Stegostoma tigrinum: one gene and its partner. The protein of the gene in region 2 purifies or fractionates together with the protein of the main gene of each other region. This does not show direct contact. Links are inferred from orthologs where the notes say so. Each region holds a gene or a part of one and is shown on either strand. Other genes may lie near its edges.

Region 1 (7,565 bases), on a different chromosome or scaffold from region 2:
GGGTGTGGTGGGGTTGGAGGGCAGTGTGGAGCGAACAAGGGAGTCACGGAGAGAGTGGTCTCTCCGGAAAGCAGACAGGGGTGGGGATGGAAAAATGTCTTGGGTGGTGGGGTCGGATTGTAAATGGCGGAAGTGTCGGAGGATAATGCGTTGTATCCGGAGGTTGGTAGGGTGGTGTGTGAGAACGAGGGGGATCCTCTTGGGGCGGTTGTGGCGGGGGCGGGGTGTGAGGGATGTGTCGCGGGAAATGCGGGAGACGCGGTCAAGGGCGTTCTCAATCACCGTGGGGGGGAAGTTGCGGTCCTTAAAGAACTTGGACATCTGGGATGTGCGGGAGCGGAATGTCTTATCGTGGGAGCAGATGCGGCGGAGGCGGAGGAATTGGGAATAGGGGATGGAATTTTTGCAGGAGGGTGGGTGGGAGGAGGTGTATTCTAGGTAGCTGTGGGAGTCGGTGGGCTTGTAATGGACATCAGTTACAAGCTGGTTGCCTGAGATGGAGACTGAGAGGTCCAGGAAGGTGAGGGATGTGCTGGAGATGGCCCAGGTGAACTGAAGGTTGGGGTGGAAGGTGTTGGTGAAGTGGATGAACTGTTCGAGCTCCTCTGGGGAGCAAGAGGCGGCGCCGATACAGTCATCAATGTACCGGAGGAAGAGGTGGGGTTTGGGGCCTGTGTAGGTGCGGAAGATGGACTGTTCCACGTAACCTACAAAGAGGCAGGCATAGCTGGGGCCCATGCGGGTGCCCATGGCCACCCCCTTAGTCTGTAGGAAGTGGGAGGAGTCAAAAGAGAAGTTGTTGAGTGTGAGGACGAGTTCCGCTAGGCGGATGAGAGTGTCGGTGGAGGGGGCCTGGTCGGGCCTGCGGGACAGGAAGAAGCGGAGGGCCTTGAGGCCATCTCCATGCGGAATGCAGGTGTACAGGGACTGGATGCGGAATGCAGGTGTACAGGGACTGGAGGACGTCCAGTCCCTGTACACCTGCATTCCGCATGGAGATGGCCTCAAGGCCCTCCGCTTCTTCCTGTCCCGCAGGCCCGACCAGGCCCCCTCCACCGACACTCTCATCCGCCTAGCGGAACTCGTCCTCACACTCAACAACTTCTCTTTTGACTCCTCCCACTTCCTACAGACTAAGGGGGTGGCCATGGGCACCCGCATGGGCCCCAGCTATGCCTGCCTCTTTGTAGGTTACGTGGAACAGTCCATCTTCCGCACCTACACAGGCCCCAAACCCCACCTCTTCCTCCGGTACATTGATGACTGTATCGGCGCCGCCTCTTGCTCCCCAGAGGAGCTCGAACAGTTCATCCACTTCACCAACACCTTCCACCCCAACCTTCAGTTCACCTGGGCCATCTCCAGCACATCCCTCACCTTCCTGGACCTCTCAGTCTCCATCTCAGGCAACCAGCTTGTAACTGATGTCCATTACAAGCCCACCGACTCCCACAGCTACCTAGAATACACCTCCTCCCACCCACCCTCCTGCAAAAATTCCATCCCCTATTCCCAATTCCTCCGCCTCCGCCGCATCTGCTCCCACGATAAGACATTCCACTCCCGCACATCCCAGATGTCCAAGTTCTTTAAGGACCGCAACTTCCCCCCCACGGTGATCGAGAACGCCCTTGACCGCGTCTCCCGCATTTCCCGCGACACATCCCTCACACCCCGCCCCCGCCACAACCGCCCCAAGAGGATCCCCCTCGTTCTCACACACCACCCTACCAACCTCCGGATACAACGCATTATCCTCCGACACTTCCGCCATTTACAATCCGACCCCACCACCCAAGACATTTTTCCATCCCCACCCCTGTCTGCTTTCCGGAGAGACCACTCTCTCCGTGACTCCCTTGTTCGCTCCACACTGCCCTCCAACCCCACCACACCCGGCACCTTCCCCTGCAACCGCAGGAAATGCTACACTTGTCCCCACACCTCCTCCCTCACCCCCATCCCAGGCCCCAAGATGACATTCCACATTAAGCAGAGGTTCACCTGCACATCTGCCAATGTGGTATACTGCATCCACTGTACCCGGTGCGGCTTTCTCTACATTGGGGAAACCAAGCGGAGGCTTGGGGACCGCTTTGCAGAACACCTCCGCTCAGTTCGCAACAAACAACTGCACCTCCCAGTCGCAAACCATTTCCACTCCCCCTCCCATTCTCTTGATGACATGTCCATCATGGGCCTCCTGCACTGCCACAATGATGCCACCCGAAGGTTGCAGGAACAGCAACTCATATTCCGCCTGGGAACCCTGCAGCCATATGGTATCAATGTGGACTTCACCAGTTTCAAAATCTCCCCTTCCCCCACTGCATCCCTCAACCAGCCCAGTTCATCCCCTCCCCCCACTGCACCACACAACCAGCCCAGCTCTTCCCCCCCACCCACTGCATCCCAAAACCAGTCCAACCTGTCTCTGCCTCCCTAACCGGTTCTTCCTCTCACCCATCCCTTCCTCCCACCCCAAGCCGCACCCCCAGCTACCTACTAACCTCATCCCACCTCCTTGACCTGTCCGTCTTCCCTGGACTGACCTATCCCCTCCCTACCTCCCCACCTACACCCTCTCCACCTATCTTCTTTACTCTCCATCTTCGGTCCGCCTCCCCCTCTCTCCCTATTTATTCCAGTTCCCTCCCCCCATCCCCCTCTCTGATGAAGGGTCTAGGCCCGAAACGTCAGCTTTTGTGCTCCTGAGATGCTGCTTGGCCTGCTGTGTTCATCCAGCCTCACATTTTATTATCTTAAACAACTGTGCCTGGGTCCCTCTGTTTTACAACACTGCCCAAGGCCCCACTTTTGTCTTTCTTCGTTTTTCCAAAATGTAGTGGGGGGGGGGGTGGTGGGTGACGACGAGGGGATGTGACGGGGGAAGTGCCGAGTGTGGGTGGGGGGCGAGTGGCCTCTACCTCCCTGCCACCCACTGTCCATCTGCATCCCTTCTTTTCCCCCGCCCCCAATTGGTATCACCTCTTTCACCATTCCCCACCCCGGTGTCGTGTGTCCCATACGCGAACATTCTGATTCTCGACCTGCTAATTACCTCGGCCTCAATCTCCGAGATTTTCTGAAGGATACTCATGTCGAACAACCACAGCCGGATGAACCCTGTCCAAGTCAGACAGCCTCGCGAGACCGACCACTCCGCGGGATTGGGCGGGGAAAGCGCCACTGCGCCTGCGCATTGCCTCACCGCCCGCCCAGTGCAGCGCGCGGCTGTTCGTTATTAACGGTTGAAACGGCCGTTGAGGCAATGCCGAGTCGTACACCTCAGTTTAGAGTGTTTGCATAGGAGCACGGAACAACAAGGAGATGTCAACAAACATCACTTTAGCAGTTAACTAAGAATTACTCTATAGATTTAAAGAAGTCAATCTTTTGTTCCGACCTTAAATTAGGGGTATCTCAGCTCTCTCAGAGTAGGTCCGTCCATTTAACGAAGTGGTGTGTTAAACCTAGTTTTCAGAGGTTTCAATTTACTTGATTTTTAGAGAGCATGATAAACCTTAAGGGCCATTGGCAGTGTCCATAGGTCTGGCTCTTGTTCCATGGATATGTATCATCTCATGTCCCAACAGGTCCGTTGAAAATAATTTTAGAAAGGACTTCCCTCCGTCACATTTCATCTAATTTTCGATGCAGCTGGGATCTCGGTGATTTTAGGGACTTCGTGGTAGAGGTGGAGGAGATTTTTTTTCTCAGTATGTTGTTAGACATTCAGTAATTGGTTCTTTGGTACACAGAAAGAAGCTGTTTGATGAGTAACTGGTAAGTTACTCGGCACATTCGAACGAATACGTAGTTTAAAAGTTACGGAGTGGTACGTCAACTCAGCTATACGTATCCCATTTTTCCCATCTGCAAGAAACGTTACCAACTGCAAATTTGAGCTCCATGGACAAGAATGCAAGTAATGGCTAGAGTCACTTTTGTGCATTCAAAGGGCAGAGAATTACGTAGATAGTATATTCAGGGAGGTAATCACATTGCAGGTTAGGTTCATAGAAGCTGAAATGAAATTGTTGAAGATAGGCAAGTGGTGTGGAGGTCCCCCGAGTCCACCCTGGCACCACTGGAGATAAAGAAAGGGGAAAAGAGTCAAAAATCAATAGCGATAGATTATTTCATGGTCAGGGGATCAGACAGGCATTTACATGGCAGTAAAGAAATTTAAGGTGGTGTGTTGCCTCCTGGTGCCAGGGTCAATAATGTCACAAAATGTAAGATATCCTTCTGGGGTGGATGACCAGCCAGAGGTCATGGTCCACATATGTACCAGTGACCAAGATAGGAGGAGCGACGCAGTCCAGAAAGTAGATTCTGGAGAGTTTGTAAGGAAATTAAAAATCAAGACCTCGAGTAGTAATCTCAGAATACTCCCAATGCTAGCTGGTAGTGATCATAGGAATAGGAGGATTGATCAATTGAACACATAACTGAAGAATTGGTGGAGGAGGAGTTGATCAGATTTTTGAAACAATAAGACAAGTTTTGGGATGGATGGAATGTTGGGCAGGTTATACTTTTACAAGACCTGGACTGATATCTTCACAGAGAGATTTGCAGCTCAAATTGGAAGCAGTGTAGCTGGCAATAGGAAGTAGATATGTGATAAGTAAAATCAGGAGACAGGCGAAAGATTGTGAGCATCAACTAAACTTAGAATGCAAAATAATGTCAAAAACAAAGTCGAGCACTCAACTTGAAATGCACAACGCATTTGTAACAAAGTAGGTGATTGCAACGCACAAATGGAGGAAAATGGGTATGATCTAATTACCATTAGGGAAACCAAGCTGCATGATAACCAAAACTAGGGAATTGAATATTCAAGGATATTTGATATTTAGGAAAGACAGGCAAAAAGGAAAAGGATGTAGTGTTACATTGATAATAAGGGATGGGATCAGTACATTAGTAAGGGAGGATGTCAAATCAGTAGAACAAAATGTGGAATCTAAGGCAGGGTCACCAGACCCGAAATGTTAACTCTGATTTCTCTTCTCAGATGCTGCCAGGCTGCTGAGCTTTTCCAGCAACTTCTGTTTTTATTTCTGATTTGTAGCATATGCAGCTCTCAGTTTTTTTTAAAATGTAGAATCTGTTTGGATGAAATTAAGAAACATCAAGGGGGCACCATACATTGAAAGGACTGGTTCCTAGGCCATGAAACAATAGTGTGGACCTCATTATTAATCCAGAAATTAAAGAAACATTCCCCAGCGTGATGAATACGGTAAGCATTGGAGACTTCAATCTACATATAGACTGGGTAGACCTAATGTGCAATAATGCTGTGAAGAATGAGTTCCTGAAGAGCATTATGGTTTTCTAGTGCGATATGTTGAGAAATTGACGAGAGAATGAACCATTTTAGATCTAGTATTATGAATAATGGCTAATTAATATTCTTGTAAATTAATCTTTAGAAATGTGTAATATAATGTTTGAAAATAAGGTAGTTCAATCTGAAGGTGGGTGGAAGTCTGAACAAAGGATATAATTAAATTCTGAGCAGCAAATTGGCTGAAATGGATTGACAAATTACATTCAAGGATATGACAGTACATTAGAAATAGATAACCTTTAAAGAGCTATCTCTTAATTTACACTATTGACATATACCTTCAAAGCACACAAACTGAAAAATGTCTGTCAACCATGGCTATCAAAGTAAATTGTGGATTACTGAAAAACTTTTTTCAAAGCTATTGCAGCTTCAAACCTTACTGGTCAGTAGACACGCTGGGATTCCTGAAATTCCACATACATAAGATTACCATATCGGCAACATCATAACTAGAAGAATACTCACAGAATTATACCTTACAGACAATGTCCCAGACACCACCATCACCATCCCTGAATATGTCCTGTCTCACTGGTAGGACAGACACAGCAGAGGTGGCGACACAGTGGGAGAGAATTGCTTTGGGAGTCCTCAACATTGACTGCAGACCCTATGAAGTCTCATGGCTTCAGGTTAAACACGGGCAAGAAAACCTGCTGATTACTGCATAACGTTCTCCCTCAGCTGATGAAACAGTGCTCCTCCAACAACACTTGGAGGAAGCACTGAGAATGGCAAGGGCACAAAATGTACTTTGGGTGGGGAATTTCAATGTCCACCACTGAGTGTGGCTCAGCAGCAGTAATAATGATTGAGCTGGTGAGGTCCTAAACAACATAGCCGCTAGACTGAGTATGCAGCAGGTGAAGACGGAACCACACGAGGGAAAACCATACTTGCCCTCATTTTTACCAAAATGCCAGTTGCAATTCCATCTGTCAAAGACAGTATCAGTAAGAGTGACCACTGCACAGTCCTTGTGGAGACAAAATCCCACCTTCACATTGAAAATAACTTCCATTGTGTTGAGTGGCACTATCACCATACTAAATGGGACAGACTTTGCACAGATCTAGCACCTTAAGACTGGGTATCCATGAGGTATTGTGGACAATCAACAGCAGCAGAATTGTACTCAAGCACAATCTGTGACCTCAAAACCTGGCATATCCCCCCTGAAATATTACCATCAAGCCAGAGGATCAACCCTGGTTTAGTACAAGACTGCAGGAGGCAATGCTAGGAGCAGGACCAGGCATACCTGGTGAAGCCACCAAACAGGACTACTTGGAATCCAAACAGCATAAGCAGAGTGTGATAGATAGAGCTATGCAATCCCACAACCAATGGATCAGATCTAAGCTCTGCAGTCGTGCTACATCCAGTCGTGAATGTTGGTAGACAGTTAAACAACTCACTGGAGGAGGAGGCACCACAAATATCCCCATACTCAATGATGGAAGAGCCCAGCACATCAGTGCGAAAGATAAGGCTGAAGCTTTCACAGCAGTCTTCAGCTGGAAATGCCAAGTGGATGATCCATCTTGGCCTCCTCCAGTAGTCCCCAGCATTACTGGTCTTCTGCCAATTCTATTCACTTCATGTGGTAAAAAGAGATGGTTGGAGACACTGGGTATGGCAAAGACATGTCTTGAACACATTCCAGCAACAGTACTGAAGACGTGTGGTCCAGAACTTGCCGCTCCCCTAGCCAAGCTGCGCCAGTACAGTTATAATACTGATATTTATCTGACAATGGAAAATTGCTTAAGTATGTCCTGTACATAAAAAGCAGGATAAATTCAACCTGGCCAATTACCACCCCATCAGCCTACTCTCAATTATCAATAAAGTGATGGAAGTTGTCATCAACAGGACTAGCAAGCAGCACCTGCTCAGCAAGAACTTGCCCAGTGATGCCCAGTTTGGGTTCCACCAGTGCCACTCAGTTCTTGATCTCATTACAGCCTTGGTTCAAACATGGACAAAAGAGCTGAATCCCAGAAGTGAGATGAGAGTGACAGTATTGACATCAGGGCTGCATTCAACTGGGTGTGGCATCAAGGAGCCCTAGCATAACTGGAGTCAATGGGTATCGGGGGCAAACGCTCCGGTGGTTGGAGTCATATCTGACACGTCGGAAGATGGTCATGGTTGTTGGACGTCAATCATCTCAGCTTCAGGACATCTCTGCAGG
Region 2 (7,298 bases):
CTCCAGCTCCTCTTCAAACTGTGCTACAGGTTCTTTAGTATTCATCTGAAAGCAACATAACAAAGCACCTAAATGAAAAGCAATTAAATGTTTCTCCAAATGAACATAGAAATAATGCAAAGCCAATTATCACACAAACTTGAATGTTATACAGTAGAATTTGAGTGCATCAGCTCGTCATTCAACCTTCCCTTGTTCTTAAGTCTGATGCAAAGCTGTAATAGATACTGGTGAATGGCTTATGAACTGAGCAACTAATTTTTAAAACCTCTTTGCTAATTGTGGAATTATCCAGTCAAGAGTTCATCAAAAAAAAATGCAAATGTTCAAAACTTAAATTAGGTACTCATATCTACATTAACCTTCACTGGAGCATAGGAAATTGAGAGGCAATATTATAGAAGTTTATAAAACAATGGGAGGTACAGATTGAGTTAATGGGAGTTATCTCTTCCCTAGGATGGGGGATTTCAAGACTTGGGGATACATATTTAAAGGGAGAGGAGAGAGACTTAAAAAAGACATGAGGCGCAAATCTTTTATGCAGAGGGTGGTTCACGTGCAATGAACTTCCTCACAAAATGGTAGATGTGGGAACAATTACAACTTGTAAAATTCATTTGGATAAGTACATTAATAGAAAAGGTTTGGAGGGACACGGGCCAGGGGCAGGCAGACGGGACTAGTTTAGTTTAGGATTTTGTTTGGCATGGACAGGTTGGGCCGAAGGGTCCATTTCCATGCTGGCTGATTCTACAACTTTATGACAGCCACAATATCAGATATAGTATTTTGACTCCTGGTTCTGGTTACAAGCAGTCCACCAATTCAGGGTATCTACCTTTGGGAGAAATCCTCCGAGATCCTTTCCTTTGATGGAGTTATGGGCATTAACACTTAAACACGTAGATACAAGAGTGGAAAATGTTAAATTTAATAATAGATGGCAAATTTTAAGTTACAAACATTTCACAATCCAGCAAACACTTCAATTTCACAAAATCTGGGAAGCTATTTAACAGAAGTTCAAAACTTAAGCATAAAATTCCTTTCGTTGTTCTACCTTTCTTTATTGCAACCTCTTCGATCCTTTCCAGGTCATATATGTTAAGGAACTTCAATAGCTCTCGAAGAATTGCAGTTGGCAAACCTAGATATTGAACAAAACACAGCTTGGAGATTTTAAAAAATGGCAGTTTAAAAGAAGATGCAATCTTTTAATCAAAATTAAATGCCTCTTGAGCTTTATCAAAGATAGACTTTTGAGATGAGCAAAAGCACCAGCAAAGCAAAATCAGACTTATACACTTCCACTTGATTTTGTTTAAAGTAGCTTCTTTGCTTACCTTTTCTTTAGAAAAAAGGTATCACAAAGCAAGTTTGTTTTTATCTTTCTCTTTCAGTTTAACAAAGATCATTCACAACTCTGCTCTGATTGGCCTGATGTTAAACATTTTGAGCAGATGAAACAAAGATTAGTGGACAGGCAGGTAGTGTATGAGGAAGCGGGGCAGCTGTAGAAGGAGATAATGGGAACTGCAGATGCTGGATAATCCAAGATAACAAAAAATGTGGAGCTGGATGAACACAGCAGGCCAAGCATCTTGCTGCTTGGCCTGTTGTGTTCATCCAGCTCCACCCTTTGTTATCTCAGCTGTAGAAGGACTTGGATGTGCTAGGAGAGTGAGCAAAGAAATGGCAGATGGAGTACAATATAGGAAAATGTGAGGTCATGCACTTTGGTAGGAAGAATAAAGGCATAGGCCACTTTCTAAATAGGGAAAGGGTTCAGAAATCTGAAGTACAAAGGACTTAGGAGTCCTAGTTCAAGATTCACTTCAGGTTAACATGCAGGTTCAGTTGGCAGTCAGGAAGGCAAATGCAATGCTAGCATTCATTTCAAATGAGTTAGAATACAACATCAGAGTTGTATTGCTGAGGAATACTGGGAACAGTTTTGAACCCTATATCTAGAGAAGGATATATTGGCATTGGGCAATATCTAGAGGAGATTTACAGGAACAACCCCTGGGATGAAAGTTTGTCATATCAGGTGCAGTTGAGGATTCAAGTCTGTACTCAAGAGTTTAGATGAACGAGTGGAGATCTGATTGAAACTTACAGAATACTAACAGGCCTGAATAGAGTGGACGTGGATATGATGTGTGCATTAGTAGGAAATTCTGGGACCCAAGGAAACAACGCCAGAGTGATGGGATGATCCTTTAAAACTATGATGAGGAGGAAGTTCTTCAGTCAGAGGATGGTTCACCTATCTTGCGGTCCTGTAAAATCTGAGCCTCGGAGATTCAGTAAAGCGGTGCGTTAATTACAGTTCCAAGTCTTACCCGAGACGCCCTGCTGCAGCCTGACCATGTTCTCGCTGACATTCTTTGCACAGATATTAAATAAAGTGGACACATGATGGCTGAGGGTCTCCTCCTCCCGGGCTATGCCCAGCTCCATTCTCCTCAAACACCGTCTCTATGGTGCTATCTTGGGAAGGTCACGTCGTGCTTTAAGCGGCTCATGCGTCCGTCACCTGAACTAGGTCCGTCAACTCGATTATGGTTGAGATGGTTGGAATTTTTATGGACAGTGCAGTACACATTCGCAATGTCAATCAGTAGCGGTGGAAATTAACGATTAATTTCCAGTACTACTTTTGTAATAGCTAAGAATTGGTAATAAAGAAGCATTTACTGGTGCGTCATTTTGGAAGTCGGAATGTTGTGACTGGTTCGCAGTTTCTTTCGGGGCCCATGTGATGAGCACGGAGGCGGCTAAGATGGCGGCGGTCAGAGAGCTGTGGTCCTTGACTAACCGAAGCCTGGCTGTCAGGAGCCGCTATCATCTCCCCCTGGGACTTGGCGTGGTCTCCGACCATCTCCGCACTTTCTCCATCTCTGGCGTTTTAAACCAGGCCGAAAAGGAGCAGGAGCTGCAGAAAAATCCTTTCTATACCAAGTATGAGACCAAGATCCAGGAGCTGCGGAGGTGAGGGAGACGTTGTTTTCACCCGCTCTGGTTTACCATGTGATTTATGTCTGCATGTTTAAGCTAATCTCGATTGTGTCGCTCTGTATTGCCAGTAATGGTGTTGCCCTGGCCAGGATTTTTTTTTTGTTTTGGCCACGGAGGTGCTTCTGGCTGGAGGGGATTGTTTATCGGTTTTAAAAAGAAGATCCTTTGGTCTTTGTATTTGTGCTTAGAAGCTGCGGAAATGCACCAATACTGAGACTAACCCATTTTCCAATTCGGCTGAGTTATATCGCAAAATAGTCACGCTGCAGAAGGCGGCCATTTGGTCCATTGTGCCTTTTCTAGTTCTGTTACCTAGTGCTCGCCTCTTGCCCTTTTCCGGAAACACTGCACACCATTTCTATCCAAATAATCATACAGTGCTGTCCTCAAATGCCTCAACTGAACCACGTTTCTAAACAGTGCATTCCATACCCTAACGATTCACTGTGTGGAAAAAAAATTCTCTCTCACATCATCCTTGCTTCGTTAGCATATCATAGACTCGTAGAGATATACAGCACAGAAACAGATCTTTTGGTCCAGCTCATCCATGCTGACCAGATATCCTAAATAAATCTAGTCGCACATGCCAGCATTTGGTGCATATCCCTCTAAACCCTTCCTATTCATATACCCATCCAGATGCCTTTTAAGTGTTGCAATTGTAGCAGGCTCCACCACTTCCTCAAGCAGCTCATTCCATACAGGCACCACTCTCCGCATGAAAAAAATTGCCCCTAGGGACCCTTTTTAAGTCTTTCTCTTCTTATGCTAAATCTATGCCTTCTCGTTTTTGACTCCTCCACTCCAGGGAAAGGACCTTGTCTATTTATACAATCCATGCCCCTCATGACTTTATAAACCTCTCTGTAAGGTCACCCCTCAGTCTCTGACACTCCAGGGAAAATAGCCCCAGTCTATTCATCCTCCCCGCATAGCTCAAACCCTCCAACCCTGGCACCATCCTTGTAAATTTTTTCTGAACCCTTACAAGTTTCACAACATCAGCCCTTTAGCAGGGTGACCAGAATTGCACGCTGTTTTCCAGTAGTAGTCTAATCAATGTCCTGTACAGCTGCAACATGATCTCTTAAATCCGATACTCAATGGATTGACTTATAAAAGCAAGTGTACTAACTATTGTCTTCACTATCCTGTCTAACTGTGACTCCACTTTCAAAGAACAATGAATCTGCACTCCCAAGCCTCCCTGTTTAAGAAACCCCCCTCCCCTCCCCTGGACTTTACCATAAGTCCTATCCTGATTTGCCTTTCAAAGTGCATTTATCATAAACTCCGTCTGCACTCAGGCCGTTCGCCCATCTGATCAGGGCCCCGTTGTACTCTGTGGTAACGTTCTTCACTGTCTACTACATCTGCAATTTTGGTGTCATGTGCAGACTTAATAATCATACCACTTATGTTCACATCCAAATCATTTAAATAAATGATGAAAAGCAGTGGACCCAGCACAGATCCTTGTGGCACATTGCTGGTCACAGGCTTCCAGTGAAAAACAATCCTCCACCACCACACTCTGTCTTCTACCTTTGAGCCAGTTCTTTATCCAAATGACTAGTTCTCCCTATGTTCCATGTGATCTAACCTTTTTACCCAATCTGCCATGAGGAACGTTGTCAAACGCTTTTACTGAAGTCCATATAGATCATGCCCACACTCTGCCCTCATCAATCCTCTTAGTTACTTCTTCAAAAAACTCAATCAAGTTAGTGAGACATTATTTCCCATGCAGAAAGCCATGTATATTATCCCTAATCAGTCGTTGCCTTTCCCAGTACATGTCCTGGAGATTGTTCTATTTTTCAACACCTTCAGCACCACCTCTTCTATGATATGGACTGTTTTTTAAGACAGCAATGTTTATTTGTCCGAATTCCCTAGCTCCCAAATCTTTCTCCACAGTAGAAAAAACTGGTGCAAAATATTCATTTAATATCGCTCCAATTTCCTGTGGTTCCACATGTAGTTGACCTCATGGATCTTTAAGAGGTTTCTCCTCTTAATGCCCCTGCACCACTTGTACTCTTCAAGAGATTCACTTGATCCCAGTTGTCTACACCTAATATTTGATCCCTTCTTGACCACAGTCTCAATATCTTTATTGTTTGCTGCTCTTACCAGCCTTACACTTCACTCTAGCAGGAACATAATTTCTCTGACCTCTCATCGTTTTACTTTTTGAAAACTTCCCACTTACCGGTCATCCCTTTACCTGTGAACAGTCTACTCAAATCAACTTGTGAAAATTCCTGTCTCGTACTGTCAAAATCTGCCTATTTCCAATTAAGGACTTTAGCTTTTATACAAGGCCTAACTTTTTCCTTGACTATTTTTAAAAGTAAAATAATTATCTACAATTAAATTCCATCTGCCACTCCTCAGCCCATTCGTCCATCTGATCAAGATCCCATTGTACTCTATGGTTACCTTCACTGTCCACTACATCTCCAATTTTGGTGTCGTCTGCAAACTTAGTAATCATACCGACTATGTTTGCATCCAAGATAACAAAGTGTGGGACTGGATGAACACAGCAGGCCAAGCAGTATCTTAGGAGCACAAAAGCTGATGTTTCGGGCCTAGACCCTTCATCAGAAAAGCGGAATGGGGAGAGGATTCTGAAATAAATAGGGAGGGGGGAGGCGCACTGAAGATAGATAGAGGAGAAGATAGGTGCAGAGGAGAGTATGGGTGGGGAGGACGGACAGGTCAAGAGGTGGGATGAGTTTAGTAGGCAGGAAATGGAGGTGCGGCTTGAGGTGGGAGGAGGGGATAGGTGAGAGGAAGAACAGGTTAGGTAGACGGGTCGAGCTGGGCTGGTTTTGGGATGCGGTATGTGGAGGGGAGATTTTGAAGCTGGTGAAATCCACATTGATACCATTGGGCTGCAGGGTCCCCAAGTGGAATGAGTTGCTGTTCCTGCAACCTATGGGTGGCATCATTATGGCACTGCAGGAGGCCCAGAATGGACATGTCATCTAAGGAATGGGAGGGGGAGTTGAAATGGTTCATGACTGGGAGGTGCAGTTGTTTACTGCGAACCAATAGTAGGTGTTCTGCTATTGTTATGGCACACTGCTGGTCACAGGTCTCCAGTGGCAACCCTCCACCGCTATCCTCTGTGCTCTACCTTCTCAGCTAGTTCTCCGTCTATGCTATGTGATCTAACCTTGCTAACCAGCCTACCGTGAGGAACCTTGTTGAATGCCTTACTGAAGTGCATTTCAATCACGTCCACTGCTCTGCCCTCATCAGTTTAAACATTTAGGCTGAAACTGTGGCAGACCAAGTGATTGAGCCAAACTGATCTCTGCTTGTGTTTATTCCACATCTGCCTCTTTCCTGTCTAATATTTTGATCTCCCAGCTCCTCTTTCCTATGGCTGCATACCTTTTCAGTTATCAACAATGGGTGATACCATTGACCAACAATGTAAGTAGACTAGCCATAAAATACTGCTTGCAAGAAGGTCAGAGAGTGGGAATTTTATGGTGAGAACTCAAATCCTGAATCCCCAAAACCTGTCCCCCATCTATAAGAAAATCAAGAGTGTGATAGAACACTGCCCACTTGTCTGAATGAGTGCAACTCCAACAATGCTGGACAAAGCAGCTCATTTGATTGTCATTGCCACCCACTGCCTTCAACATTCACTCCCTCTCGATAAGTGATAGAGTAAATCATTTACAAGATGTGCTGTGGCAACTCACCCAAGCTCCTTCAACAGCACCTTTCAAATCCACGCTGGAAGAACAGGACATAGATACATGGGAACTCCGTAACTTGCAAGCTCCACTCCAAGCCACACAGCACCCTGACCCAATTTCATCATGGTGATACTGGGTCAGAATCCTAGAACTCCCTTCCTAATAGAACTCTGGGTGTACAGGGCCTGCTGTGTTCATCCAGCCTCACATTTCATTATCTTGGATTCTCCAGCATCTGCAGTTCCCATTATCACTGACTTCAAAACAACAGGTCACTTTCTGCTGGATAGTTAGGTGTGGGTGAAGGTTCCTATTCCAGAATGCACTTTTTAAAAAAAAAAGTATGTAGTAAGACATGAGGTGATTGAAGGATGGGTCAGCAAGTTTGCAGACGACACGAAGGTTGGAGATGTCGTTGACAAAATAGAGGGCTGTTGTAGGCTGCAGTGGGACATTGACAGGATGCAGAGATGGGCTGAGAGGTGGCAGATGGAGTTCAACCTGGATAAATGCGAGGTGATGCATTTTGGAAGGTCGAATTTGAAA

What was found.
Region 1: the proteins of lrrc41 (region 2) and drg1 purify together in Homo sapiens (affinity purification with mass spectrometry; 3 studies listed by BioGRID and IntAct, counting the BioPlex papers as one, with this or other methods). This does not show direct contact. The link is inferred for Stegostoma tigrinum from reciprocal best matches to the Homo sapiens genes LRRC41 and DRG1.

What each region holds. Positions count from the first base shown.
Region 1 is NC_081379.1:46,784,188-46,791,752, forward strand, and holds the start of drg1 (developmentally-regulated GTP-binding protein 1), read right to left. Parts: upstream 3,173-7,565; 5' UTR 3,101-3,172; coding exon 3,062-3,100; intron 1-3,061. UniProt on the Homo sapiens protein: Catalyzes the conversion of GTP to GDP through hydrolysis of the gamma-phosphate bond in GTP. Appears to have an intrinsic GTPase activity that is stimulated by ZC3H15/DFRP1 binding likely by increasing the affinity for the potassium ions.
Region 2 is NC_081361.1:76,012,378-76,019,675, reverse strand, and holds the start of lrrc41 (leucine-rich repeat-containing protein 41), read right to left. Parts: upstream 3,008-7,298; 5' UTR 2,998-3,007; coding exon of another isoform or gene 2,768-2,997; 5' UTR 2,467-2,767; coding exon 2,349-2,466; intron 1,151-2,348; coding exon 1,064-1,150; intron 1-1,063. Other genes in the region: atpaf1 (ATP synthase mitochondrial F1 complex assembly factor 1), read left to right, coding at 2,768-2,997. UniProt on the Homo sapiens protein: Probable substrate recognition component of an ECS (Elongin BC-CUL2/5-SOCS-box protein) E3 ubiquitin ligase complex which mediates the ubiquitination and subsequent proteasomal degradation of target proteins.